Linked DNA regions of Coturnix japonica. The protein of the gene in region 7 purifies or fractionates together with the protein of the main gene of each other region. This does not show direct contact. Links are inferred from orthologs where the notes say so. Each region holds a gene or a part of one and is shown on either strand. Other genes may lie near its edges.

The links.
Region 1: the proteins of EXOC8 (region 7) and EXOC5 purify together in Homo sapiens (affinity purification with mass spectrometry; 5 studies listed by BioGRID and IntAct, counting the BioPlex papers as one, with this or other methods). This does not show direct contact. The link is inferred for Coturnix japonica from reciprocal best matches to the Homo sapiens genes EXOC8 and EXOC5.
Region 2: the proteins of EXOC8 (region 7) and EXOC7 purify together in Homo sapiens (affinity purification with mass spectrometry; 4 studies listed by BioGRID and IntAct, counting the BioPlex papers as one, with this or other methods). This does not show direct contact. The link is inferred for Coturnix japonica from reciprocal best matches to the Homo sapiens genes EXOC8 and EXOC7.
Region 3: the proteins of EXOC8 (region 7) and EXOC1 purify together in Homo sapiens (affinity purification with mass spectrometry; 3 studies listed by BioGRID and IntAct, counting the BioPlex papers as one, with this or other methods). This does not show direct contact. The link is inferred for Coturnix japonica from reciprocal best matches to the Homo sapiens genes EXOC8 and EXOC1.
Region 4: the proteins of EXOC8 (region 7) and EXOC2 purify together in Homo sapiens (affinity purification with mass spectrometry; 7 studies listed by BioGRID and IntAct, counting the BioPlex papers as one, with this or other methods). This does not show direct contact. The link is inferred for Coturnix japonica from reciprocal best matches to the Homo sapiens genes EXOC8 and EXOC2.
Region 5: the proteins of EXOC8 (region 7) and RALB purify together in Homo sapiens (affinity purification with western blotting; 6 studies listed by BioGRID and IntAct, counting the BioPlex papers as one, with this or other methods). This does not show direct contact. The link is inferred for Coturnix japonica from reciprocal best matches to the Homo sapiens genes EXOC8 and RALB.
Region 6: the proteins of EXOC8 (region 7) and EXOC3 purify together in Homo sapiens (affinity purification with mass spectrometry; 5 studies listed by BioGRID and IntAct, counting the BioPlex papers as one, with this or other methods). This does not show direct contact. The link is inferred for Coturnix japonica from reciprocal best matches to the Homo sapiens genes EXOC8 and EXOC3.

What each region holds. Positions count from the first base shown.
Region 1 is NC_029520.1:50,516,155-50,519,654, reverse strand, and holds part of EXOC5 (exocyst complex component 5), read right to left. Parts: intron 1,092-3,500; coding exon 1,027-1,091; intron 536-1,026; coding exon 507-535; intron 342-506; coding exon 232-341; intron 1-231. UniProt on the Homo sapiens protein: Component of the exocyst complex involved in the docking of exocytic vesicles with fusion sites on the plasma membrane.
Region 2 is NC_029533.1:3,933,592-3,937,091, forward strand, and holds part of EXOC7 (exocyst complex component 7), read left to right. Parts: intron 1-1,150; coding exon 1,151-1,189; intron 1,190-2,237; coding exon 2,238-2,303; intron 2,304-2,964; coding exon 2,965-3,085; intron 3,086-3,474; coding exon 3,475-3,500. UniProt on the Homo sapiens protein: Component of the exocyst complex involved in the docking of exocytic vesicles with fusion sites on the plasma membrane.
Region 3 is NC_029519.1:58,587,710-58,590,764, reverse strand, and holds part of EXOC1 (exocyst complex component 1), read left to right. Parts: intron 1-1,153; coding exon 1,154-1,337; intron 1,338-2,954; coding exon 2,955-3,055.
Region 4 is NC_029517.1:61,951,771-61,955,868, forward strand, and holds the start of EXOC2 (exocyst complex component 2), read left to right. Parts: upstream 1-1,298; 5' UTR 1,299-1,419; intron 1,420-1,620; exon of another isoform or gene 1,621-1,641; intron 1,642-1,672; exon of another isoform or gene 1,673-1,762; intron 1,763-4,098. UniProt on the Homo sapiens protein: Component of the exocyst complex involved in the docking of exocytic vesicles with fusion sites on the plasma membrane.
Region 5 is NC_029522.1:21,413,456-21,417,573, reverse strand, and holds the start of RALB (ras-related protein Ral-B), read left to right. Parts: upstream 1-1,318; 5' UTR 1,319-1,418; intron 1,419-4,118. UniProt on the Homo sapiens protein: Multifunctional GTPase involved in a variety of cellular processes including gene expression, cell migration, cell proliferation, oncogenic transformation and membrane trafficking.
Region 6 is NC_029517.1:80,091,863-80,095,362, forward strand, and holds part of EXOC3 (exocyst complex component 3), read left to right. Parts: intron 1-613; coding exon 614-833; intron 834-1,593; coding exon 1,594-2,275; intron 2,276-3,500. UniProt on the Homo sapiens protein: Component of the exocyst complex involved in the docking of exocytic vesicles with fusion sites on the plasma membrane.
Region 7 is NC_029518.1:35,755,087-35,759,380, forward strand, and holds the start of EXOC8 (exocyst complex component 8), read left to right. Parts: upstream 1-1,494; 5' UTR 1,495-1,564; coding exon 1,565-3,085; intron 3,086-3,460; coding exon 3,461-4,069; 3' UTR 4,070-4,294. Other genes in the region: SPRTN (sprT-like domain-containing protein Spartan), read right to left, coding at 843-942, 1,128-1,462. UniProt on the Homo sapiens protein: Component of the exocyst complex involved in the docking of exocytic vesicles with fusion sites on the plasma membrane.

The DNA.
Region 1 (3,500 bases), on a different chromosome or scaffold from region 7:
ACCAGACCAGGCTGCTCAGAGCCACATCCAGCCTGGCCTCAAATGCCTCCAGGGATGGCATTTGCCTCCTTTATTGACCTACATTTGATTTCAGATGGAACATTTCAGTATTTTTAAAAGATATATGGGTAACAACCATTTGCCTGTGCAAATATTTTCACTTAAAGGATGAGCTGGTGGATTTTTGTTGGGTTTGGGTTTTGTTTAGTTTATTTATTCACTAATTTTTACCTTGAAATGGAGCAAGACAGCTGCTACTTCTCTCATTCTGGATATTTCGCCTCTCCGCTGCGCACTGGTAAACTCCTGAATTAGCTGGCACTCTAAGTCATGGTATTTACCTGGAAGGGAACAGAGGAAAAAAGGTTAAAAAAAAATTAGAAGTAATCCATGAAGCTATCTAATACAAGCACTGGCAAAAATGGTAATACTGACAGTACTGCATATTTCTTTAATCAGCTTTTACGATATATGGGAATATGGATTGAACTGGATGGATAACTTACTTGCTATCTTTGATTTTACTTCAGAAAACCTGTTAACATCAAAAAAATACCATGATTAATTTCAAATCCACATCACAAGAGAAATCAGACATCCCAGAGTGCCTGTTACTCATGATCTATTTAAAAAGGAATATACATAACACAGAGACGACAGAAAAGTTACATACTTCATATCCATAAGAACCTACGAGCATCTAATCCAAATCTAGCATTAAGTCAGCACACCAAAATTATCCCATTAAAAGTCTGTTAAGCAGTTCAGGATGTGTATGTAAAGATGATCCTACAACATGAGTATGCAAACACAAATTCAGGAATAGATGGTGCACTTATTTCTCTCAAAAACTACAGGAATCATAGAGTGAAACAAAGCCCCTTCCCATCCCATCCCATCCCTTCCCTGCTGTCCCCCTTATTCCCCTCCAAAAAAACCCCAGCATTATAAAATTACAGCTACGCGAAGTTGTGGATTTTTTTTTCTGCTATGTTATTTTAAAGAGAAGTTCAGGTAGAATTTTACCTGTCAAAAGGCAGTTCCTGAGCAATCAAATGCAGTTTTTGAATAATATCAGCTGCCTCTTTAATCTGTTATGAGTAAAAACATGACAGCCAATTATTAAAGAAGATCTGAACATGGCCTATTCCTTTCTTTCATCTCTACTGCTCAGCTTTCACACCATAGTCTATATTCCTTTTAGATGATATACCATGTAGGAGATCACTTTCCTGCAATATGCATTTTAAGATGCTTAAGATATTAATTAACATACAAATTACACTGGTCAAAACATGATAAAAATTCTTCTGCTATATGTTCATGTGGGGCACAACTCTACAAGTCCTTAAGCTCATCACCATACCAGGCCAATATGGCTTGCAGACCAGAGTTCCTTATTTAATCATCCCAGGTAATGTGGCTTGAGCAAGCATGTTTCAAGTATGCACCTTTCCATATTGTAGTAAAACAAACAACCATAACATATAGATGGCTGAACTGCAACATGATATTTTGTGATGAATTAGGATAAAAGTCATTTATTTGGCAAATGGCATGGACTGGCCCAAAGCATGACTGTGAGACAGATGTAAAGAGTTCTACTATTTGATCTTAGCAACTGGAAGGCACCTTGAAGGGAGTAAGGAAAACTGACTACTATACCCAGGCAAAGCCTTCATACCAGTAGACATAACAGAAAGTATAAAGAACATGCAATTTGTCTTGCTTTTCCTGTTAGCCATGTAGACAGAACTAGAGCAAGAGGAACAGAAGCACTGAGATCCTATTCTGCTACCGCTGATGAGAGGCTTGGGATTCAAACTTTGCAAGAACAGAAGATGCACAGGTAGGAAAACAGAGCACAGTCACTGCACGAGGCTGGCTGTGCGGCAGAAATAGAGGCTTTAATAAAGTGTAGTCATTCTGCTTATTAAGAGCAGCTTATGTTTGGAACTGTCAGCTCACAATAGCCTCTTAAATCAAAAGCAGCCACGCTCCTCAAATAAATCCAATGAAACAGCAGTTATTTCTATTAGGTATTAAGGCTGCTTCAAGCTAACTAACAATTCTGCTCAGTATTGATGTCGTCAGGATAGCCTATGTATCAGCACTTATTCACCAGCATCACCTAAAAAGAAGCCCAAAAGAAAGGTAAATAAAGAGCAAACAAAAACATCAGCAAGCAAACACAACATCTTCTGTCTTCTTTTCACACAATAGCTGCTAACTAACTTCTTAGATTTTTATTGAATTCACAGCCTTTTCTTAAGCACAACAGAAGCCAGGACGAATCAATTCTCCATGGTTTCTGCTTAAACCCAGAGATATTTCATTTTTAATTGAATCAGGCTTCTGTAAACCATTAAGTCAAAATAAATACTGAATCTGTACGACACAACTTAAAGGCTATAATGCATCTGAGGAAGCGGACAAAACAGCAAAGGAAAATCTTAATAGAATCGGTATGAAGAAGCTGAAAGGCGTAATGGAACAATAGTGAGTACAGAACTAACGCAGAAGAGGGTGCAAGAATAATAGTGAATGTTGAACATAATGATACTGTTGCATGATAAATAAGTGAGTTGCTACATCGTTCTTTAATTGATTTGCTCACTTTAAGACACTTCAGTGCAAAAGAGGGACTGGTTAGTTGGCAGAGCAAGGCAAGTGGTAACAGCTTGGAGGATGAAGACACACACACAGCATATATAGCTTAGGACAAGACAGCCAAGAAAAGCCATCACAGAGATAAGCTGGAAATTGCTCAGTATATCAAGGACAAAGTAACGTGGGAAACAACAACTTTCAGTGTAAGGAAAAACAATAAAAGTGGTAAGAACCCAACAGATTATAAGACCTGACACTGCCGAGAAAAACACCAATTCCTGCAGAAATAATTGCACTGCAACTCCTTGCCTCCCTTTCTCAGTATCCCTTGCCCTTAATGGCTTAGAGAGAAGCCCACGCTTTCATAAAGGGTGGCACAGAACAAGAAATCACAATGAAAGCCCAGATCAGCTCAAAAATCAGAGGATGCTGCCAAAATATTAACATTTTGCCTCTCAGAATATTTATTACTATCTCATACTTCAGAAATGCTTTTAGTTCAAAGATGTATTAAGATATCATGCCTCACACCCAGGAAGGCTCCTTATAAACACTATTTCTACTTGCTATTTAAATGTGTGCCCCCCCACACCTCATATGCAGACTGACATCAGACTTCCAGACCTTACTGCATTCCTCTCCTCTTCCAGATTTGCTTTATGTCCTCAGGGCACATCAAGATTAATTTGTTTAACAATTTCCAGGCTTATCATATTTATCTACCACAGATTTTTTTTCAGAGCTTCCAACAGAAAATATTACAAAAATCAAGTTAAATTCCTTATGAGACTCTTCTTGCTTACAGATGGACACTACTACTGCAATTTATTTCCATTAGCCAGACCACTCAGATTCTATTTGCTTCACAAACACACTTCTGAAGCAAAAGG
Region 2 (3,500 bases), on a different chromosome or scaffold from region 7:
TGTCCAGCCACTGTCAGGTTGGGACTCCTGAGAGCTATTCATGCTCAGGTGAGAAAAGTTTTAGCTCTGCTCTTGAGGTCGCTAAAGAAACTAGTTCCAGAAGGAAGTACATATATTGAAAGCTGAGAGCACTGGCCTCATGCAGTGATGCTGAAGATGCTGCTGCTTGTCAGCTAGAGCTTGACTCTTGGTTCTGTGCAGAACAGCAGCTCTCAGCTCTGCAGTGAGCCCTTGGCCTAGACAGAGCTCATGCTTTCAGATAGGTAAGAACAGAGCAGGCTGGTGAGGTGCAGAACTGGAGCACAGCACAGGACATCAGTGCATGGCAAGGCTGTCCTCATTTTGAATTTCACTCTGGTTACTGAGTTTTGGTCAAGTTGTAGTTCCTGCTCAGGTGACCTGATGTCATTCTAGACAGAGCATTATCAGATCAGAGAAATTTGGGAATGTTCACTTCTGTTAATAGAGGCATCTGCTTTGGGATGGTGAATTGCACCCAAAGGTGCTTCTCTAATGACACCTTCCAGTTGCTTGCACAGATGTGGATGTCTGGAGTTGAGTTTGAAAAGTCTCGTAGCAATCCCAAATGATGGGAAATGCATTTTTTTTTCTGCAATGTTCCCTTCAAGTAGTAACAACAAAAGCAAAGTTTACCAGTTAAATGCAGTGACTCCAATCTGATGCTTTTACTGCCTGCAGAGCCACTCAGGGGGGCCCTATATAACCACACAGAGGTAGGGTGGGATGGTTTTATGTAGCTTCTTGGAAAGGTTACATGGGCTGTGCAGTGCATTTCAAGGACCAGTAAAGTGCTGCTGTTGTGTGAGAAGGCTTTCTTTTGTCTCCAAAGTTAGCTTGAAGTGGCTTGGAGTGAGGTGTCTTGCTAAATGCAAACAATGACAATACAAACCATGTCTCTAGCAGGGGAAGGAAGTTAGACTCAGCCTTTTCTCCACCATTTCCAGCTTCATTTGTGGCCTTGGAGGGATTCCTGCCTGCTCTCTTGTGTAACTGTCTGTGGCTGCTCTGTGTTAATATCTGCTTAGTTCTCAAAGGGAAGGTGGTCTCTAACCTGTGTTTTTGCACTTTGCGTTTCTTTTTCTCTCTCCTCCCTCCCCTTTTTCTCTCTGCTCTGCCTTAATCCTTTTAGTTCTTGGGGACACATACAATATTCCTTTAGATCCCAGAGGTAAGCAGACTTACCCTCACATACCCACTTATTGCCTTGGACACTTGTGATGTACGTTAATTCTTTGTTCTCTGGGAGTGATAAATAAATTAACACATAAAAGGGGAAAAAAAAAAAAAGAGAGACACATAATTGAAAAGGGAAAAAGGGGAGGGGAGGGTAAGTAACTCTTGCCAATGAGCTGGAGAGAATAGGGCTTGTCACCTGCAGACAAAGAGGGATGCCACATGAGCTGAAACAGGCTAAAGGCACTCTCATGGCACTGAGTCTGTTTGGCATGGGTAGCAAATTGGCCCAGCTGGTGTCATGCCTTATCCCATGTGTGCTTGGTTCCTCATTGTCCAACTCCTGGCAACAGGAGCCCTGAGGCCTTTCCCAGGGGTTGCTTACTAACTCAGACCACCCGACCGAGGCTTGGCTGCCAGGCTCTCTGGTGGGGAAGGAGGAGATAGCTGCCCTGTATGTTCCAAGCCCACAGGCCCTCAGGGGCAGAAAGCCATCCCTCTAGTGCACAGACAGAGGGACACATACCAGCCCACAGTCACTGCTTGCCCACGAGCAGGTGTTCATGCTGGTGTGGTCTCTTGTACAGAGCCAGTCAGGCCTTGTTGACGACTGTGGGGATGGCTGAAACTTTCCAGAGCTCTTTTGCTTGTTTCAGTTACTGTTGTATGCCTGCTGTTAGCAGCTCCAGCTCCTTTGCTCTCTGCCTGCACATTGCTGTTGCTTAAAACCCCGTTTTAGATGGTGGGGGAAGGATGGGGAGGATGTGCTTCTAATCAAGAAGATGGAGGGTATCCTCTGAGCACTAGGGAATGGTTTCTGCCAGGGTGCTCAGCACCTGATGCAGATGCAAGGATCATCCTCACCTTGGATAATCCACTGACAATCATCACTGAAATAGGGAGCTGATTTCACTGTTGATAGGAGCTCAGCACTAATTCCATAGCAACAGGGAAGGGGCTTGTCTGCATAGACTCAGGCTGACCACATATGCCCTCCTCTTTCCCATGGCATGTTAACTGGCCTGAGACTTTTTTCTTTCCAGAGACCAGTTCTTCAGCTAGCAGTTATAGCTCGGAGTTCAGCAGGAGGCTGCTGAGTACCTACATCTGTGAGTACACTGCAAACCTTCCCACATCTGCATGGGCTGTTTTTTCACTTGACTTCTTAAGCTCTTCACCCTGTGTGATCTTTCTGTGCTTGAGCTGGGGTATTATTCGGAGATTGGATAGAAATAGTCAGGCTGGGTGTTTTGTCCTGTTACAATTAGACAAGACAAAGTACAATGAAGAATTTAAGTTTGCTTTTATCACCAGTTGCCTTAAACTATTTTCCCACTGTTCTTTGGGCTGTTAGTCCTGCTGAACTTCAGGAAGGTCTCTGTAAAATCTCAGTTTTCTGTTTAACAGTGAAAGCTTCAGATGAGTTCACAGTACTGCCCTGTGGTGATCTGTTCTAACAGTGATCAGGTCTGTCAGGTTCCCTGTGACAAACCTCTGTTGTGGTGAGGCTGGTTCTGATCACCCATGCTGGACCTTATTCTGAGTCTGTGTTGCCATCTGCAACCAAGCACTCATTCACTAGGACGTTTTAGTGACCTGCTGAGGAAAGATCTGTGTAAAGCTTGTTGTACCCCTGTCTGCAAATTTGGTTGAGGCTGTGCTATTTGCTTTGTTGTGGATTCCCAGGAACAGCTCAAAGTACTCTTTGAATTATCAGTTACAAGAAGTCTCACTGCAAAAGTCTTCATCCTCTGTTGTTCCCTCTTTAAGGCAAAGTGCTGGGCAACTTGCAGCTTAACCTTCTTAGTAAATCCAAGGTTTATGAAGACCCAGCTTTGAGTGCCATTTTTCTGCACAACAACTACAACTACATTCTGAAATCTCTGGAGAAGTAAGTATGTAGTACTGGAGTTCATCTCTCTGAATTAGGCTGATGCTAAGTGCAGTTTTCAAACAGACTTTGGTGTATTGAGTGCATTTACCTGCACGTCTGCCCCAACTCTCCTGTACTGAATTCTTGAAGCTGCCCTTTTGAAACCTTAGCCCTATGGATAAGCATTGCATTACATAAGAGTGGGAGATGCAACCATCAGAGATGCCTTATGTTGCAGAGAATCCTTTCATCTTGAGAGGATTGACAGTGTTGCTTTGGAAAGCAACTTGGAGCAGCTCCTGTCACCCAGTTTGTGCATTTCAAGGTCCCTTTAGAGTAAAAAGGCACAGATCTTGCTGATAGCAGCTGGTTCGTGTGCTTCCTCATGTTTTCTGTTCTTCTTTCAGGTCTGAGCTGATCCAGTTGGTAGCTG
Region 3 (3,055 bases), on a different chromosome or scaffold from region 7:
TTTTCTGTTTAAGATAACTCTATTACTTTAGGAAGCCTGCACCTATTCAATTTGATTTTAGGATTTTAAGACTTTTTGTTTTAATTTGAAGCAAAAATGAGTGTCTGCACTACAGTTACATTGGACAAACTTTTTTTATTAAAAAATATTTATTAAAAAATAGTAATTGGCAGTTGTTTCCCTCTTCCCTTTCCATCCCAGTTTACCTGAAGGATGAGCTATCCATAGGACGTACAACCTCTTGTCCTCAACATTTCAGTTATGTGAGCTGGCTGACTTTTGTAATTGTTTTAAACTTTTACTGAAGTCAATCAAGTAAAATCAATAGTGCTCTGACTTTTTTTTTTTTTTTTTTTTTACATTCCAAAACAATCCAAAACAACCTCACAGACTTAAGGGAAAATCAGAATCTTTGTAATATACTGAATAGACATTTATTCCTTGCATTCAGGTATTTTTATCATTAAACAAAACGCAGATTTTTGTGAAACATTAAGACTTCTCTCCTACTACCAACATATTTGCCAGTTTCTGCCACGGAGAAAGTTTGCTATTCTTAATAAGGCAGCCTTAGTACAAATACTTGTTTGTGTGACTGTTGCTTTTGCTATTATTGTTGTAAGTGTCATTTGACTCCAGGCCACTTTGGTAACACTGATCATTCATTGTCAGAGGAATGCTTGAGATACTTGGAAGTTATTATTTTTTAGCTTATTCTTAAAAACAAAATTTCAACAGGAGATTAAAGAAGCTTTCTGTGGCCAAATGAATCATTTGCTGGGTTGATGCTGAAAAGTGAAGTTGTGGAATGGAAGTCTTAAATATAATTTGTTAATTGCTTCTGGTGAATAAGTTGTGGATTCATTGTTTGTGGTATTTTTTTTTCTTAATGCTAAATAAGCAAGCAGAGGAAGATAAAAACTTGAAGATTATAAACTTCAGTCTTGAAGATTTTACTTGCCTTTCTTTCTTCACAGTTTTTACTGTTAACAAATTTGTGAAGATACAATAATTAAAAGATAAAATGATCTCCCTGATTAGACGCATGTTACTTTTTCAGTATGTTTACTTTTTTTCTATTACTAGTTATGGTTATTACTAGTTATGGTCTGGAACTGTATTGTAGAGAATAACTTCTGTGTTTCAATTCAAGAGCAATCAAATGAAGCAGATGGATGAAGTAAAAATCTCAAAGAAAAGTAAAGTCGGGATCCTTCCATTTGTTGCTGAATTTGAAGAGTTTGCAGCCCTTGCTGAATCAATTTTCAAAAATGCAGAACGACGAGGAGATCTGGACAAAGCATATATAAAACTTATTAGAGCTGTTTTTATCAGCGGTAGGTCTTCCCATTTCGTAATACTTATTAATTCCTCCTGTGTAGGTGTATTCTGCTCTGTTTAATTGATAATGTTTTTTTTTTTAAGACTCTATATTGTAAACCACATGACCAACATTGCACTGATGTTAAAAAAAAAACAACCTAATTTATAGAAGCAAGTTGAAACATTTTGATAAAATGAAATATTTAAAAGCAAACTGTAGATATTTCCCTTAACACATATATACAAAGTAACTTTCGGTTATGACAGGGGAAGTGGTTAAGGATACAGGAAGGAGGGGGGAGAGAACTGCAACACTACAGGCCAAAGTCTCAAGTGGTTTTCTGGCTTTTCTGCACCAGTCTGGCTTAAATGAGGAGATGAGACAGGATGGAATCCCTGTCATTTCATTCTAATGCTGTACAGCTTCTCAGTGCTGTGTTGTCTCATTCAGTTCTAATGTAGCCTTGTGTTCTGGCTATGAATTTGACCATATCATAGCAGATGAGGTCCTCCTGACATAGTAGAATGCCTCTCCCATCCCTTCCTGTTTTTCCAGCTCTGATCTGGAAAACCAGAACAGTCTTGTTCTCCTTGTTATTAACAAAAAAGAAATAGATGAAGGTGAAGTAAAAGAAGTGAAATGCCAGAAAAATGGTCATAACCTTTTAAACAACAGAGAGGCCTCTCCATGTTGATTTATGTACATCCTTTGAAACAGCTCGACCTGTAGTACTTCCCAATCACTGAGACTTGCCTTTTTCCCTGAGGGAGGTTGAGGAAGAGGGAAGAGTTCTGGCAATAAAGCTTGTTTGAGGAAACTAGCACAGGAGTTCTGAACATTAGGAGGTTGTGAAGATGCATCATTTCACAATATAGTGGACTACAGTTCATAAAGAGTCAGTAGAAGTTAGTAGGGCAGTGAATTTTAACAACATTGATTGCGTCCAACTATTCAGTACTTTAGAATTGATTGTTCAAGTGATGAAACCAGGCAGACGCTAACAGTCAAACCATACATTGATAGAAGTACTACTGTAGGAAGAATTCAGGAAAGTACGTTTTAAAAGAAATTTAAAAGGATTTCAGTTGAACTTAGAAAAAAAAATAATTGACTAGTACAGCATGAGCTTCAACAAGTAATTATGATGGGGATTGGTGCTTCAGTGATCTAACTGAAATGAATTGATGATATTGACTCGTACCTTGGTGCCCAGGAGTATGCTTCATAAATATTTTTCATGGTGGTTTTCCTACTTCATAGTCTCAATGAAATGATGGATGAGCGGGCATAGAGGTTTAATTGCATTCTTAGATTAATTCTGCATTAATCTGCATTCTAACCATCGTCTCCTTGGCCTGCATGCATGCAGATGCAGTAGGGGGTCAATAAGTAGAATTTCTTACACCTGCTCTGTTTTACTTGGGAGGGTTAAAAGTAAAAGCCTGCATGTATCTGATGCTTCTTTTGAAAGCCCTCGAATATTTATTTAGTGACTGTTATGATTATCGTTCATACACATGGTTATCACTGTGATAGAATCCCTTACTTTTTTCTTTTCATCAGTTATGTTTTCTTCCGAATTTGGTTGCCCTTTAGGAGTTCTAAATATTTTGTTTCCCTTATCTTTTAGTTGAAAAAGTAGCTAATGAAAGCCAGAAAACACCCAGAGATGTGGTGATGATGGAGAATTTCCATCATATTTTTGCAACACTTTCTCGGTTGAAAATTTCT
Region 4 (4,098 bases), on a different chromosome or scaffold from region 7:
TCTCTCATTGTTCCTCAGGCAGATGCCGTGTGACTATTTAACTAAAGCTAGAGGGAAGAGTCAGTAAGGAGCTGTATATTCATCCACTGAGATATTACAGCCTATAATATACCTTGTGCAGCTCTCACCTCCAGGGGAAAAAAAAAAAAACCAAAACATGTGGGAAATGACATTTCCTTGCCATGATGTTTTTTATAGCGCTTACGTTCTTTGAGGTTTTATGAAAGATATTTCCAACTAATGTCTCAATCTAGGCCTGGACTGGCAAAACTGAGAAACTGATTCTCCTTTCTGTTTTCTCCCTCATTGCTTTTTATCTGCTTTCCATTCTGATTTCATTTGCACTTGGCTTTCGCAACCAACCTCCAAACAATTCCAGCAGAAAGGGAAAAAGGATGTCTCCTTTCCAAAAGGAAGAAGAGCCTCTGTTCAGAGGTGCCTCATGCAGACAGATGGTCTGATAAGAAATCACCCCATGTTTTCAGTGGGAAACCAGCACGAATTTGCACGACCAAGCTTTGCCCATGCTGCCTGCCTACCGCCAGCTCTTGTAACAGCTGCGTCCTGTTTCTGTGCAGCCCTGCAGCGGTGCCGGAAAGACACTACCCAGGGGGTCGGGCTGCTGGGGAACAACCTGAAATAAAAGCTGAGCCAAGAAATGGAATTGCACAGCTTTGCTTTGCTCCATTTCTGAAGAAAAGTTAGTCTCCTTTTTGTACAGATGACGTGAAAAACATTGCAATCGTCCTCCACCCAACAGTGAGCCTGATGGGTGAGAATACCCATTGGTGTTGCCCATGTGGCATTGCAGGCATTTTAGGGAATGAGCAGCTCTAACCCCAAGCATACTCAGGGCCAGCACACCTGCATCTGAGGGGCAGCAGGAGAACCAACACTTGAAATTTCAACACCAAACCCTCCATGCCACAGATACAGGAGAGGTGTGACGATCATTTAGAGGCCCCACAACCAGGCCTGTAGGACACAAGCAATGCTTCTGGGAGACAGGAGATGGTAGGAACCTGTCCTTCCGACTCAAGGGCACAGTGCCTTCCTCTTGCACCACCACGCACCCCCGCACCATCCTGTGCTGCATCACAAGAGCGTGGAGTTTATTATTATTTATTACGATTGCCGTTGCTGCTGCTACCAATATTACTTCAGTAGAAGAGCTTCGTACTGCCCCACTTCCGAGCTTCTACGAGCAGACGCTCCCAACCCGAGGGAGGCCGCCTACTCCGCCTCTTGCGCCTTCATTAGGCGGGGCCCGCAGCTCGGCCGCCCCTTCTCGATGTCTCCACACTCCATCGATGTCTTCGGGCGGCGGCTGCCGGTGCCTGCTCCCGCCGGACGCGGAGGCGCTGCCGGGAGCGGCGCTGCCCCAGGTGCCGGATACGAGCGCGGCGGCGGCGGCGGCCGGTGAGTGACAGCGAGCGGCCTCCCGCCCCTCCCTTCCTCCGCCGGGCGCTGCGGAGCCGGCTCCCAGCGGGGCAGCCCCGGTCCTCCCCCATTGCGCTGGGGCGGAGACCGTCCCCATCCCGGGGGGGAGACCGAGGCGCTCTCCCGCCCCGCCCCTAGTCCGGGAGGGATTCGGGGCGGCTGTTTGCGGGCCGTGGGGCTCCGTGCTGTGCTGGGGGGCAGGTAGTGCCATATGGGACCGGCCTTGCTGGTTACCGTGAGGTGGTTCCGCGTGTGCTGAGGGCTGTGCAGGAAGTAGGCCGGGAGAGGCACGGGCGCTTAAAACTTCGCTTACTGTGTCCAGGTGTGGAGCCCTCAGTACAAGAAAGTCATAGAGATTTTGGAAAGGGTCCAGAGGAGGGTCACGAAGATGACCAGGGGGCTGGAGCACCTCCCTATGAGGACAGGCTGAGGGAGTTGGGTTTGTTCAGCCTGGAGAAGAGAAGGTTGCGGGGTGACCTCATTGCAGCCTTTCAATACCTGAAGGGAACTTACTCCCAGGAGGGGAGTAAACTCTTCGAAAGGGCTGACAATAGCAGGACACGGGGAAATGGTTTTAAGTTAAAAGAGGGAAGATTTAGGTTGGATGTTAGGGGGAAGTTGTTCACTAGGAGAGTGGTTAGGCCCTGGAACAGGCTGCCCAGGGAGGTTGTGGATGCCCCGTCCTTGGAGGTGTTCAAGGCCAGGTTGGACGGGGCCCTGGGCAACCCGATGTAGTAAATGTGTATGTTTGGTGGCCCTGCTAGGCAGGGGGGTTGGAACTACATGATCCTTGAGGTCCCTTCCAACCCGGGTCATTCTGTGATTCTGTGTGATTAAAATGAACTGCAACGCGGTTTCTCATTGAGGGGAACAGCCTGGACGTGGGGATGGTTGCATTTCCAATAGGGACCCTGACATTCTGTCCCGGCTTTCAAAATAGCGCTTCTTCCAAGCTGTTGCCTTTTCTCCCTCTTTTATATATTTCTTTGGCGTTTCCTACCACCTGTGTCTTGTTTGCTCCTTAGATGAACAGCTTCTAACACAAACACTCAAACGCTTTGAATTCACATCCAGCGAAGCAATAAGCCCTCCTAGTCTGGCAGAACATCAGGTCAAGTCTAAGCTGTTAACGCCCATTCAAAGAATAATAGACGGTCTGGGTTGAAAAGGACCATAATGTTCATCTAGTTTCAAACCCTCTGATACGTGATGTAGTTTAAAATTCTAATCTCACATTGTTTTTCCTCGTTTTCTGATTGCAAACGCTTCCCCCCCTCCTTAAGACCTGTATGTATTTCACTGCACCGGGGTTTTCTTTTTCCTTTTGATGGAGTGTTCAAACCATTAGAAATCACTAGAAATTCAGTTAGAATCACTGAATGGCTTCCTTTGGAAGGGACCTTAATGATCATCCAGTTCCAGCCCTCTCCCGTGGGCAGGGCTGACACCCAATAGTTTCTGAGGTTTGTTTTTTTTTTGGCTGTCGTTTTTTAATTATAAACTGCAAGTGAAACTTGTCACCTTTACATCCAACCTGCTTTGCTTGCTTTATTTTTACTCCCCTGAAGAAAAGCTTTGTAATTCTTAGCTCCCTATCGCCGTAGTGTCTGTCACAGCTTGCACTGACCCAGCAAGGAGCAGCCGAAAGCTGCTGCTTTCTTTCCCATGGATCGCTTAGTTTACAGGGTTTGTGATTTATGCCCACCCTTGGACAACAGTGTTTTTACTTAACCGGGGGTTCTGTTGTTTTAAACAGGATGCAATGATTTTCGTTATACTAGTGTGATTTATTTCACAGAAAATGGCATTAATTTAACTTCTGGTGGCAAGTCGGGTTGTTGGTTTTTTTTTTCCCTGTATGGAAAATTTAATTTTTCTTAGTGTTTATCAGAGGTGAAGCAGTTGGATGTTTTTGGACCTGTGATATTCAGGTCTTAGTGTTTTGAGTTGTAGGATTCCTCATGCTGAGAATATTTGAGGTAAAAAAAACCACACACATATTAAAGATGTTAAAATGTGATTCACCAGTAGTTTCCCAAGGTCCCATGAAATAGCATCCACTGATACGGTCTGTTCATGATGCTACTCCTCAAAGTGAAACTGCACTGAAGCACATTAAGTGGTAGACAAGAAACAGAGGCCACTGACCTCTTTTAGCGATGAAAGCTTGAGATATGTTATGTTAAACCCTACTTAATCAATTTCTGTCAGTTTGATATGGCTGGCTGTAAATCCAGAAAGTCTTGAGCATTGTACTTGAAACTAATCATCAGTTGTGTGTTACTTTTGATTCTCTTCATCTGGGCTTTTCTGCTTTCCCTTTGAATCCATTTAAGGGAGGCGAAAAGAGCAAGACCTGAATAGCATGATCACAGAAGTGTGTATTTAAAAGTTATTTTTGAACATACAGGCTCTGACAGCCACCGAATGAAAGAATACATGAATTAAACTATGCTTTTATTCTCCAGAACGAGGCAAGCCCGTGAAGCACAAGTGGATATTTATTACCTGTCTGTGCATTAGTTTAATTATGCAAAAAAGGCGCATGAATGTTTTGCATGGAAGAAATCAGTAGTACTTCAGTTCAGAATGAAGAACTGGTAAATAATGCTCAAAAGATTGCATGTATTACTCTGAATTTATCTTCCGCGGGGGCTT
Region 5 (4,118 bases), on a different chromosome or scaffold from region 7:
AAGTCCACTAAGAAAATGCACAAATAGAACAAGAAATCTGGCAGCAAAATATTTCTGTTCCAATGTAATACAATACAGCTGAAAGGGCAACACCCTGGTGTGCAGCTCCATAAAAGTGTTCACCCAACAAACACTGAAACACAGAACCCCCAAAGGTAGGCTGTTAAACCAAAAGTCAGTGCAGGAGCTTGAAAATGACAGTGACCTACGATGGATGATCTTAATGCTGAACTTGGAATTAACTGCATGAAAATATCACAGGATTTTTTTTAACACAAAAATGGAAATCTGAAAGGCAATTGCAACGGCCTAACAGAGTATTTAGCAATTCCAAATATGACGTAAAAATGTCGTGTGCTTGAAGAATGCAGTAAGTTTACCCCTCATAGTGTTTTGTGAGGCTGTAACAGAAACAAAAGTACCCTGGCAACCTGAGAAAATATTCTGTATTAGTCACTTGATAAAACCGGACAAAACCAATAAGCTTTCAGGCATGTGGGTGCTTCTTCAGATCTGAAATAGAAACTGCTGATTTCAAAGATAAATTCAGGTTAAGAACAATAGTGTCAAGGTAGGACATCTGCTTTGCTTTGAGTGTTTACTAATTTCTTTTCTTTAGGCTTGGGAAGTAAATGATGACCTGGGAAATAAATTAATAGCAATACAGCCCAGTAGATGGGTAATTATTTCTGAAGTAAGCTTGCAATTAGAAGGGGACCAAGGAGTAAAACTTATCCCAACACAAAATCACATTCACTTCCCATGAGATTTGCAAGCCTTTTTGCTTACATTCCCTTAGAAAATGTTAAATGGAGTCCTAAGTCACTTGGGTGTTTTAGGTGATATTACTTTCACTGGAAAAGACAATATAGAAGTCAGGGAAATGCCAAGGAGTGGATGCTCTTGAGTTTATGCTGGTTATGCACTCCCGGCAGTGGCTGTGGGAGCTGACAGTGTGCAAATCTGTGTTTAGCAAGGTCAAGGCTTGAGATGTCACATACACACAGACCATAGAGGGAACAGAGCAGCGCTCCAAGGTGGCTCATTTGTAATACATCTCTCAGGCTACTCCTAGCAATGAGGTAAATATTGTTTTCTAAATTTGTCATTTCTATTCATTGAAACTGTTTTGAGAGAGGGTTGGGAAGGCAAAGCAGGAATGTCATTCTCTGTTATTGGCCATTCAGGAGTTTTGAAGCTGTTACTTCTTCATTCACCTACAGCAGTTTCTTTGTTTTCACAATGAGCACATGATATCATATCCTGAGCCCTTCCCTTTTTGCACAGCTCTGCAAAGCAAGAGGAGGAGTCCGGCCCTGGCCAGCGTTACCCTGCTCAGAACACTGGATCTGCTCCTGCCATCCCCTGCCTGCTGCTCCCTGGGGAACCACGGCTCTGGGACAGGCTCCTTTGGCACGGTGAGTATCAGCTATGAAAGAAGATGGTCTAAATAGCTTGTGAGGTGGTGCTGGAGAAGGATCAGCTCTGTGTTTGTGTATGTGTGCAGTCAGTGACACAAACACACGTGAAACGAGAACTCGCATTTTCCAACACTGAGGTGAGAAGCACAAGCTGTTTCCTGGCCCAGCTGGAGTGAGAAAAGGAGAGCAGCAATGGGGAGGGCTCTTGGGGTACACGGACTGGCTCACAATAGGGGCAAGGTGCAGGAATAGGACAAGGTGCATGCACCCTGTGAGCCTACCTGCTGTGGGTAAGACAGGAAAAAACAGATGCTGAAATTTATGCAGAAGAAGCTTCAGAGTGAGCACGTGGCATTGTGTTAAGGCTGGATGACAAGCACCTCTTGTTTATTCTTAGTCTGGTTTGCCTTAATGAATGCAGTAGAGCTAGCTAGTAATAAGCAATATACGAAGAGAATAAAAGAACCAGTCTTCTATGCTGGTTCCCACTCATCCTTGGGGCATACAGGCCAAGTAAACACATGAATAGTGAGTCATTGATTTCTTTTAATAAAACTTCATAACCTTTGCTCTGCAATGCAGAGAGAATGGAGGATTTAATGGAAAGGTTCTGCCACTCCCGGTGGAGGGACCAAAGTTTTGTCTGGATGTCTCTGCCATGCTGAGTAGAGATGTATTAGCTATATTAAATATATATTTATGATCAATTAGTGTACGAGTAGGTTAGTATGTTCTGGAATTTACATTGTAGAAATGTTACAATAAAAGTAAATGATCCACTTACATTCCTATTTACCAAATTATGTCATAGAATTTATTTCTTAATCTGAAAGGTTGCTTTTAAAAGAATGGAAACCCCAGGGGGCACTTGTCCATACTAAAGTAACAAACCACATCATATCAGAGCTTGGTGAGAGGTTTAAGATACTGGTTTACCTACTGGCCTCACTCTGTTTTGAGTGGAACCTACAGAAAGCAGCAGTGATGTTTAGGAATATAAAAATAACAACAACTGGCTTTAGGAAAAGGCAAATAAACTGCATCCTTTCCCCAAACAGTGTTTGGTACAAGCAGCATTACAAGAAACATGTAACTTGTGAATATGTCGTTGATTGCTCTATACTATCCATTTCTCTTTGCACATTGTGGTTTTGATTGTTTCATTTCTGGGGTCACAGAACAACAGCAGTAGAAACTGTTGCCTTATATCACCTCAGCTGCATTCTCATAAGAGAAAAAGCCACCTTTGTCTTTAATTGAAGAGAGAATCATATATTTTTCTTATTAGTTGCAGTTTAGTCAGTGTCTAGTTTGTTTGTATGCTTTTTATTTTCAATTTATAAACTCTTCTCAAGGGCTCCACCCACAGTTTTTCCTGTTGTTAATTGTTTTGTTGTCATGCCTAAAAAATTCAGAGATGAAAGAAAAGTGAGCTTCCTTTATAGAAACCACCCAGCTCTGCTCCTGTATCCTGTTTATAAGTGTGTTTAATAATAAATTTTCCACCACTTTACATCCAAGAACTTTTAGGTATGCAGCAAACATTTAATTAATCTCAGAAAGAATGTGTGAGGTTGGTTCCCTCATTTTACAGGTGAGATGGAGAGTGAGGCAGTTAAATTAAGTGACTTGACTAATATCACACTTTGAGTCAGTGCTAATGCTGAAAATAGAATTTATGTCTTCAGGTTCCCTGCCCCGTGCTTTAATCATCATACCAGACCTGACTCTAAACTTGAGCAAATTCCTTGAATGATTGAAATAAATATTCTCAGTTGCACGTTGTATTATTATGTCTGGGGAGACCTCATTGTGGCCTTCCAATACTTGAAGGGAGCATATAAACAGGAGGGGGGACAGCTGTTTACGAGGGTGTACAGTGACATGACATGGGGAAATGGTTTAAAACTGAGACAGGAGATGTTTAGGTTACATATTAGGAGAAGGTTTTTCACCCAGAGGGTGGTGACGCACTGGAACAGGTTGCCCAAGGAGTTTGTGGATGTCCCAACCCTAGAGGCATTCAAGGCCAGGCTGGATGTGGCTCTGGGCAGCCTGGTCTGGTGTTTGGAGACCCTGCACATAGCATGGGGGGTGGAACTGGATGATCACTGTGGTCCTTTTCAATCCAGGCCATTCTGTGATTCTATCTTACTATGATTTTCCAAAGTCTTCCATGCTTAGGACTCTTTTAGTCTTTTTTTGTTCAGATGTAGCTTCAGATATCAGCTGCGTATATTTTGCCTATAGTAATCCTGAACTTTAAAAATATACTCAGAGATCTCTGAAAAAGAAAAAGGATAAGGAATGCACTTAGAACACACAGCAGTCTCACTGATGGGAATGCAGCAATGCTGTTGTTCATACTTTCAACAGCATTTCCACTTAATAATATCTATAGCTTCAGTAAATGGAGCATTGTAAAGGTACTGCCCCACAGAAAGAAGAGCGACTGCTAGTTATGTTGTCACGAGAGAATGAAAATGTAGCCTGAAGCACAAAAGAGCAACTGCATCTACAGAAAAACCTGCTTAGACATGCAATTCTGAACTGTATCCTCTCTGAATAAACTGGTGCATAAAGATGTACAATCCTTGAAAACCTGTTTAAACAAATAGTACCAATGTTCGGGCTAATCTCATGTCCAACAACTTTATAGCTTTTTGAGCATAGTCCTTTCTTCACAGAATCACAGAA
Region 6 (3,500 bases), on a different chromosome or scaffold from region 7:
ATCAACCATATTTTCCTGGGACGTTCCCCTTACTTTTAAAACACAGTAAATGTTGTTCATAGCTACCAGGATTTCCTCTTTGGCTTCTCATAACAGGCAAAAACAAACCCGTGACAGCTCAGGCCTTTTGACCTTACATGTACAGCCAAAGTTATGGCCAGTGCTGAGCTAAACTGTGTGTGCCTCGTTCCTTTACAGTTTGCTTCAAGTCCTTGAGTTCAGCAATGGAATTTTCACTGCTGCCTTTGGTTTTGGCTTGTCTTTTGAACTCTGTTATTTCCAGTTTCATTATCTCCTGTCTGATTTCATTTTAGTTGCATATTTAAGTAGATAGCTACCTAAAACATGGATGTGGTCTGATTTCTTTCATGTGCTTTGTAACACATGTTAGTAATGTGTCAAGACTTTGAAACGATATTCAGGAGTAATGGCCCATTTGAAGAATCAAGTACTACCTGTCACAAGAGAGAGCCATATCAACAGCCTTGCCGTATGTCATAACAATCTAGTAGTCGCCTTGTCAATCTGCTTGTTTTACATGGACCGAATATTACTTACAGTGCATTATGATTAATGTGAGAGTTCTTTCTTTGTCTTTTTGCTTGCGTTTAAGGCAGCAATCCAGTCGCAGCTGGATGGAGTCCGGACGGGTTTAAGTCAACTGCACAATGCACTGAATGATGTAAAGGACATCCAGCAGTCTTTGATAGATGTCAATAAAGACTGGAGACAGAGCATCAACACCATTGAAAACCTCAAGGACGTTAAGGATGCTGTGGTCCAGCACAGCCAGCTGGCAGCTGCTGTGGAAAATCTCAAAAACATCTTTTCAGGTAGTTTGCTGTTCTTTATATAATCCATCGCAGTCTTAAAGCATTTCAAAGGGGTACAAGATACAGATGAAGGTACAGAAGATTCCCTACAAGTCTTTCTCACACAGCAGTTAAGAACCTCGAGGATGATTTGTGTTTCTACTTGAAGTAACATCCAGCTAACGGCAATGAATGTTTGTATGTTCCAGTGTTAATTTGTTTCAGGGATGTTGCTATAATTTACTGACACAAATGCAGTTGAGACCTGAATGCAGCCTTTTGTTTCCTAGTATCCTGCCAGACTTTGAGTGTGAAGTGTTTCCCCTGAGATTGTTACAAAGTAGAGTCGATGGTAACTTCCCACTCAGGGAACCAAATGTTTTTTTACAACGAGTCAAATGATTTTCACCATAATTAATGATTGTAATTGTCTTAGTGAGCCTTTTGTTTAATTGGATTGCCAGTATTTAGCACTGCCTGTCATTCTTGTGGCGACATTTCCTGCAAGTATTTTTTGTTCTTCTTGCCACTGAATCCTAATCCAATTCTGTATTGTTCCTTAAATCATAGAATCATAGAATTACCCAGGCTGGAAAAGACTTTGAAGATCAAGTCCAACTGCAGCCTAACCAGTACCCTAACTCTAACAACCCTACACTAATCTAATCTAAATACTGAATGTTGTTTTCCCATTTGTTTCCGAGCACTCATAATGTCTTGAGTTTATCTTTGGCATTTTGATCTATTTCCCCCTCTTTTTTCCTTTTTGCCTTCGTTGCAGTTCCAGAGATAGTGAGGGAGACTCAAGATCTGATTGAGCGAGGGGAACTTCTGCAAGCTCATCGAAAGCTGATGGATTTGGAGTGTTCTCGCGATAACCTGATGTATGAGCAGTATCGCATGGACAGCAAAAACACGCACGACATGAACCTCATCCATACGTACTTTGGGGATATGCAGAAACTTTCTGAGGAGCTGGCCAAGCAGTTGTGGATGGTAGTTCAGAGATCTCTCGTTACGGTTCGTCGAGATCCGACCTTGCTTGTTTCTGTTGTTAGGATAATTGAAAGGGAAGAAAAAATCGACAGGCGCATGTTAGACCGGAAAAAACAGACTGGGTTCATTCCTCCTGGCAGGCCAAAGAAATGGAAGGAGAAAATGTTCAACATTTTGGAAAGAACTGTCAGCATACGAATCGAAGGCACTCAAGCGGATACTAGAGAATCTGACAAAATGTGGCTTGTGCGCCATCTAGAAATCATACGGAAATACGTCCTCGATGACCTTCTAGTGGCTAAAACCCTGCTGGATCAATGCTTTCCCCCACATTATGACATTTTCAAACGATTGCTAAACATGTACCATCAGGCTTTGTCCACCCGCATGCAGGAGCTCGCTGCAGAGGATCTGGAAGCAAATGAGATTGTTAGCCTTCTCACTTGGGTTTTAAATACTTACAAAAGGTAAAGTCCCACTTACCTTTCTGCGAGAAAAGTTGAGGATAAGCATATACCACACAGTCTGTGTACCAATAATTGTGTGTCTGTTAACAGAAGATAAAGAAGTGGCGCAGTGGTAGGAATGCCGCGTTGCAACACTGGAGGCCTGGGTTCGAATCCCCCTGTGGCGCAAGTGGTAGAAGTGCCGCTCTGCTACACAGGAGGCTCGAATCCCAGAGGTTGGACTCGATGATCTCTAAGGTCCCTTCCAACCCACATGAGACTGTGATACTGTGAAGATACAGCTGTTTATACATAAAAAAGAAGTGGAATGATAGTAAAGGACTGTTGAGATTTGTTAATGCCTTTTACTTTCTTGAGGCTACTCAAGACTTCTCCAGGTTTTCTAGCACATGGTTTTAAGTTGCTTTATAAGCTTGAGGCTTTAAACGCAGTTCCAGACCACTGTGGAGCTGCTGTCAGCCTCAGTGTGTTTGTGCAGCACTCGGTGAAGAACTGGGGAGAGCAGAGGAGATGAAAAGCTTGTGTGTGTGAAGCAAAATGTTTTTCATTGGGCACAGCCCCAGTATATGAGTGTGATTGTTTGCTTTCTATTGTTCTCCTTTGCAGAGCGTGGGACTGTTGAAGTATTGCTTCATGTCTGTTAAATGGAAAGAATGTAGTTACTTCCTCCAGATTTTATCTTGGAACCTCACAACAGTTTATTTCTTTAGGAGAATTTCTGCCCATAGGTTCTCTCCTGCGATACTGTCAGACTCTTCATGTCTCTCCTGTGATACTGTCAGACTCTTAGTGTCTTTTGAGTGCTGTGATATGTTGAAGTAATGTAAGGATTGGGTCCGTCCCGTTGTTCTCCTGATAGAGCAGCTCAAAAGGCAGCGTTTTAATGTTAGCCGACACATAGTTACTAGGCAACTGATTTATTTGGGAAAAAGTGCTGCTCGCTTGTTGTGCTTTATGACTAACCTTCTTCTCAATAGCTGGCAGTGACCCAGAGTCTGCACCATGTGTGCTTTTTGCCGTCTTCAGTTATTTGATCTCACTGTTTCAACAGATGGAGCTCTTGGTAGGTTTAGAGTATAGCACCGTTCAGCAAATAGGTTGGAACTACTGGAACTGCTGTCCCAGGGCATTTTTATAACCTGTTTTAAGATGTGTTTTGGCTTACTCTGCTTTGCTTCATGCTGTGACATTCTTCTGCTTTTCTTCCCTATAGTGAACACCCAGG
Region 7 (4,294 bases):
CAACCTAAATCTTCCCTCTTTCAACTTAAAACCATTTCCCCGTGTCCTGCTATTGTCAGCCCTTTCGAAGAGTTTACTCCCCTCCTGGGAATAAGTTCCCTTCAGGTATTGAAAGGCTGCAATGAGGTCACCCCGCAACCTTCTCTTCTCCAGGTTAAACAAGCCCAACTCCCTCAGCCTGTCCTCATAGGGGACGTGCTCCAGGGTAAGCATTACATGTAATTTAAAAACTAAGCTTGAAATGTTTTATCTTTTTCATTCATCTCTGCACTGATCTCATCTTTATACGTCATAAAAACACAACATTTATTCTACCTGTGAGATCATTAACTCTGCTTCCATATAACACTGAGTGATGGTCCACAATAATTATTCTATGTGTGAAGTTGTTAATTCTACTCCAGTGCAATGCTGAGTGTCCTTGCAATAAGAAGAAACAATCCTGAAGCTCGTCAGACCTCTAAGGAGGTCACACCCCCACGAACAAAGAGCTACATGTAAGGAGGCTGAAATTACAGCACCTCTGTTCATTAAGCAAACCTGAGCATTCATAATATCTGAGTCACCATATGTATGAACTCCAGTATGAAACATAAGATGTGGGAGGTGAGGTGCCATCTGTTTCATGTTTCACAGAATCACAGAATTGTAGGGGTTGGAAGGGACCTCTAGAGATCATCGAGTCCAACCCCCCTGCCAAAGCAGGCTCCCTACACCATGTCACACAGGCAGGTGTCCAGGCGGGTCTTGAATATCTCCAGAGAAGGAGACTCCACCACCTCCCTGGGCAGCCTGTTCCATTGAACAGTTCCAGTTTGGATATGTCAGCAGCCTTCGTGTACCTCAACCAGGTCCTTCCTCGGCCTTAACTTCAGGAGCGGCTCACTCAGGCGGATAGAACACATCCCGCTGTTCCCTTCGTATTTACACACTCCAGCGCAGCTGAAAGAGACCAGGGAACAAAACATCGTAAGCGATGCTCTTATTATGTATAGTCAGCTGAGAACTGTCACAGAGCGGCTCAATACTGAGCAGCCCCCCTCCAAACGAGAGGAGGGTGCAGAACCCCATCAGCAGCACCCGGGGGCTCCCAGCCCCACCTCCCCCCTCACCCCCCCATGTCGTACAGGGTCATGCGCGGGCTCCACGACACCTCCACGGCCGCCAGCCGCCCCCAGAAGAGCGCCTGGTTGAACTGCACGAACAGGCCGTGCACGTCGGGGCTGGGATCCAGCAGCTCCCAGGCTTCATCCACCACCGACAGCGGACGGAGGGACAAGGGGTCCGGCGAGGCCTCTACACGAGCCGGCGCCGCCTCCTCCTCCGCCTCCCACAGCTCCTGGAGCTGCAGCGCCAGAGCGAAGTCATCCTCCTCCTGCTGCTGCTGCCACTCTCGTTCCACACCCGCCGTCAGTCCCCGTGCGGCCATGACTGCGCCAACCAGCTCCGTTGAGCTGCGCATGCACACCCCGCACTGACGCACTCATTGTGCGCCGCGCTTCCCCGCCCGCCCCTTCCTCCTCCCAAGGTGTCGGTGTCGGTGTCGGTGTCGGTGTGTGTGAGCATGGCGCTGGCGCTGGGGGAGGGCGGCGGTGGCAGCCGGCTGCGGCGGCAGCTGGAGTCGGGGGGCTTCGCGGCGGCGGAGTACGTGAAGCAGCTGTCGCAGCAGTCGGATGGAGACCGGGATCTGCAGGAGCACCGGCAGCGCATCCAAGCGCTGCAAGAAGAGACGGCGCAGAGCTTGAAGCGCAACGTCTACCAGAATTACCGGCAGTTCATCGAGACGGCGAGAGAGATCAGCTATCTGGAGAGCGAGATGTACCAGCTCAGCCACATCCTCACCGAGCAGAAGGGCATCATGGAGGCCGTCACGCAGGCCCTGCTCCTCCAAGCCGACCGCGACGACCCCGCCCTGGGCGCCCGCCGCGCCGCCGCCGCCGCCGACCCCTTCCTGCCGCTGTCGGCCAAGGAGGCCGCGGCCAGCGAGGAGGGCCGGCAGCGGACGCTCACCACCCTGCTGGAGAAAGTGGAGGGATGCCGCGACCTGCTGCCCGAGAGCCCCGGCAAGTACCTGGTGTACAACGGCGACCTGCTGGAGTACGACGCCGACCACATGGCGCAGATCCAGCGGGTGCACGCCTTCCTGATGAATGACTGCCTGCTGGTGGCCACCGCGCTGCCCAACCGCCGCGGTGCCTACCGCTACGATGCCCTGTACCCCCTCGAAGGGCTGGCCGTGGTCAACGTCAAGGACAACCCGCCCATGAAGGACATGTTCAAGCTGCTCATGTTCCCCGAGAGCCGCATCTTCCAGGCCGAGAACGCCAAGATCAAGAAGGAGTGGCTGGAAGTGCTGGAGGAGACCAAGCGCAACCGAGCCCTGAGCGAGAAGCGACGCCTGGAGCAGGAGGCCCTGCCCCGGCCCGCCCCGACACCTCCTGAGTCCACCAACCCCTTCGAGGAGGAGGACGAGGAGGAAGAAGAGCCCTCCGTTGAGGAGGAGGTGGTCGACCTCTCGCTTGAGTGGATCCAGGAGCTGCCGGAGGACCTGGACGTTTGCATCGCTCAGCGGGACTTTGAAGGGGCTGTGGACCTGCTCGATAAACTCAACGAGTACTTGGGAGACAAGCCTGTGAGCCAGCCCGTGAAGGAGTTGCGGGCCAAGGTGGATGAGCGGGTCCGGCAGCTTACGGACGTGCTGGTCTTTGAGCTGTCTCCGGACCGCTCGCTGCGAGGAGGACCACGGGCCACACGCCGAGCCGTGTCCCAGCTTATTCGCTTGGGCCAGTCCACCAAGGCGTGTGAGCTCTTCCTGAAGAACCGGGCGGCCGCGGTGCACACAGCCATCCGACAGCTGCGCATTGAAGGTGCCACGCTGCTTTACATCCATAAACTCTGCCACGTCTTTTTCACCAGCCTCCTAGAGACGGCCAGAGAGTTTGAGACAGACTTCGCTGGCAACAACGGCTGCTACTCTGCCTTCGTTGTGTGGGCCCGCTCTTCCATGAGGATGTTTGTGGATGCCTTTAGTAAGCAAGTGTTTGACAGTAAGGAGAGCTTGTCAACTGCAGCGGAGTGCGTGAAGGTAAGAGTGCCCATGGTGGCCTGAACAAAGCTTGTAGATCTTCATTTCTAACCCCAGCATAGTTGACTGAGTGCAGCTCTGGAAGGGTTTTCTGAATTAAACTGTTCGTATTCATTTGGAGTTGGTTTATTTTTCTTAAGTTTAACCAACAAAACATTAAGATGAAAATACACAGCAAGAAAAACCCTGCCCTTACCAGAAATGCAGAAAATGTTCTTCCTTAATTTGCTTTTAACTTTCTCAGTAATAAGTAGTTTCTTGAGGCAGAACTGAACCAGGACTAACCTATCCCTGCTTTCTGATGCACGCCCCCTTTATATTTGCTGTGTTTAGTCAACTTACCAACTTACACTTTGTTTTTCCTTAATACCCAAGGTAGCTAAAGAGCACTGCAAGCAGCTCAGCGACATTGGACTGGATCTCACCTTCATCATCCACGCCCTTCTGGTAAAGGATATCAAAGGTGCTTTGCAGAGCTACAAGGATATCATCATCGAGGCCACCAAGCACCGCAACTCTGAGGAGATGTGGAGAAGGATGAACCTGATGACTCCGGAGGCTCTGGGGAAACTCAGGGAGGAGATGAAGAGCTGTGGCGTAGGCAGTTTTGACCAATACACTGGTGATGACTGCTGGGTCAACCTTAGCTACACTGTAGTAGCTTTCACTAAGCAGACTATGGCCTTCTTGGAGGAAGCGTTAAAGCTTTACTTTCCAGAGCTGCATATGGTTCTTTTGGAGAGCCTTGTGGAAATCATCCTAGTGGCTGTCCAGCATGTTGATTACAGTTTACGGTGTGAACAGGACCCTGAGAAGAAAGCATTCATTAGGCAGAATGCATCCTTCCTTTATGAAACTGTCCTTCCTGTTGTGGAAAAAAGATTTGAGGAGGGAGTTGGAAAGCCAGCCAAGCAGCTACAGGATCTCAGAAATGCTTCAAGGTTGATGCGTATAAATCCAGAAAGTACCACCTCTGTGGTGTGAACGAGCAGTTCTTACGAACGGGGTGTGAAAGCACTTAGTGAAAATGTTGTACATTGCATATATGAACCAAATGGGTTTTTTGAGTTCCTAGAAAATGTGGAAGTCTGGTTGCGGGATTGCAGAGAATGAAGTTACAATCAAGGGCTTCAAGGGTTCAACACTTCTGTTTTTTGGGGGGGTGGGTGCAGGAAAGTGAGAGGTAGCAATTGAGATCACGTGTCCTTG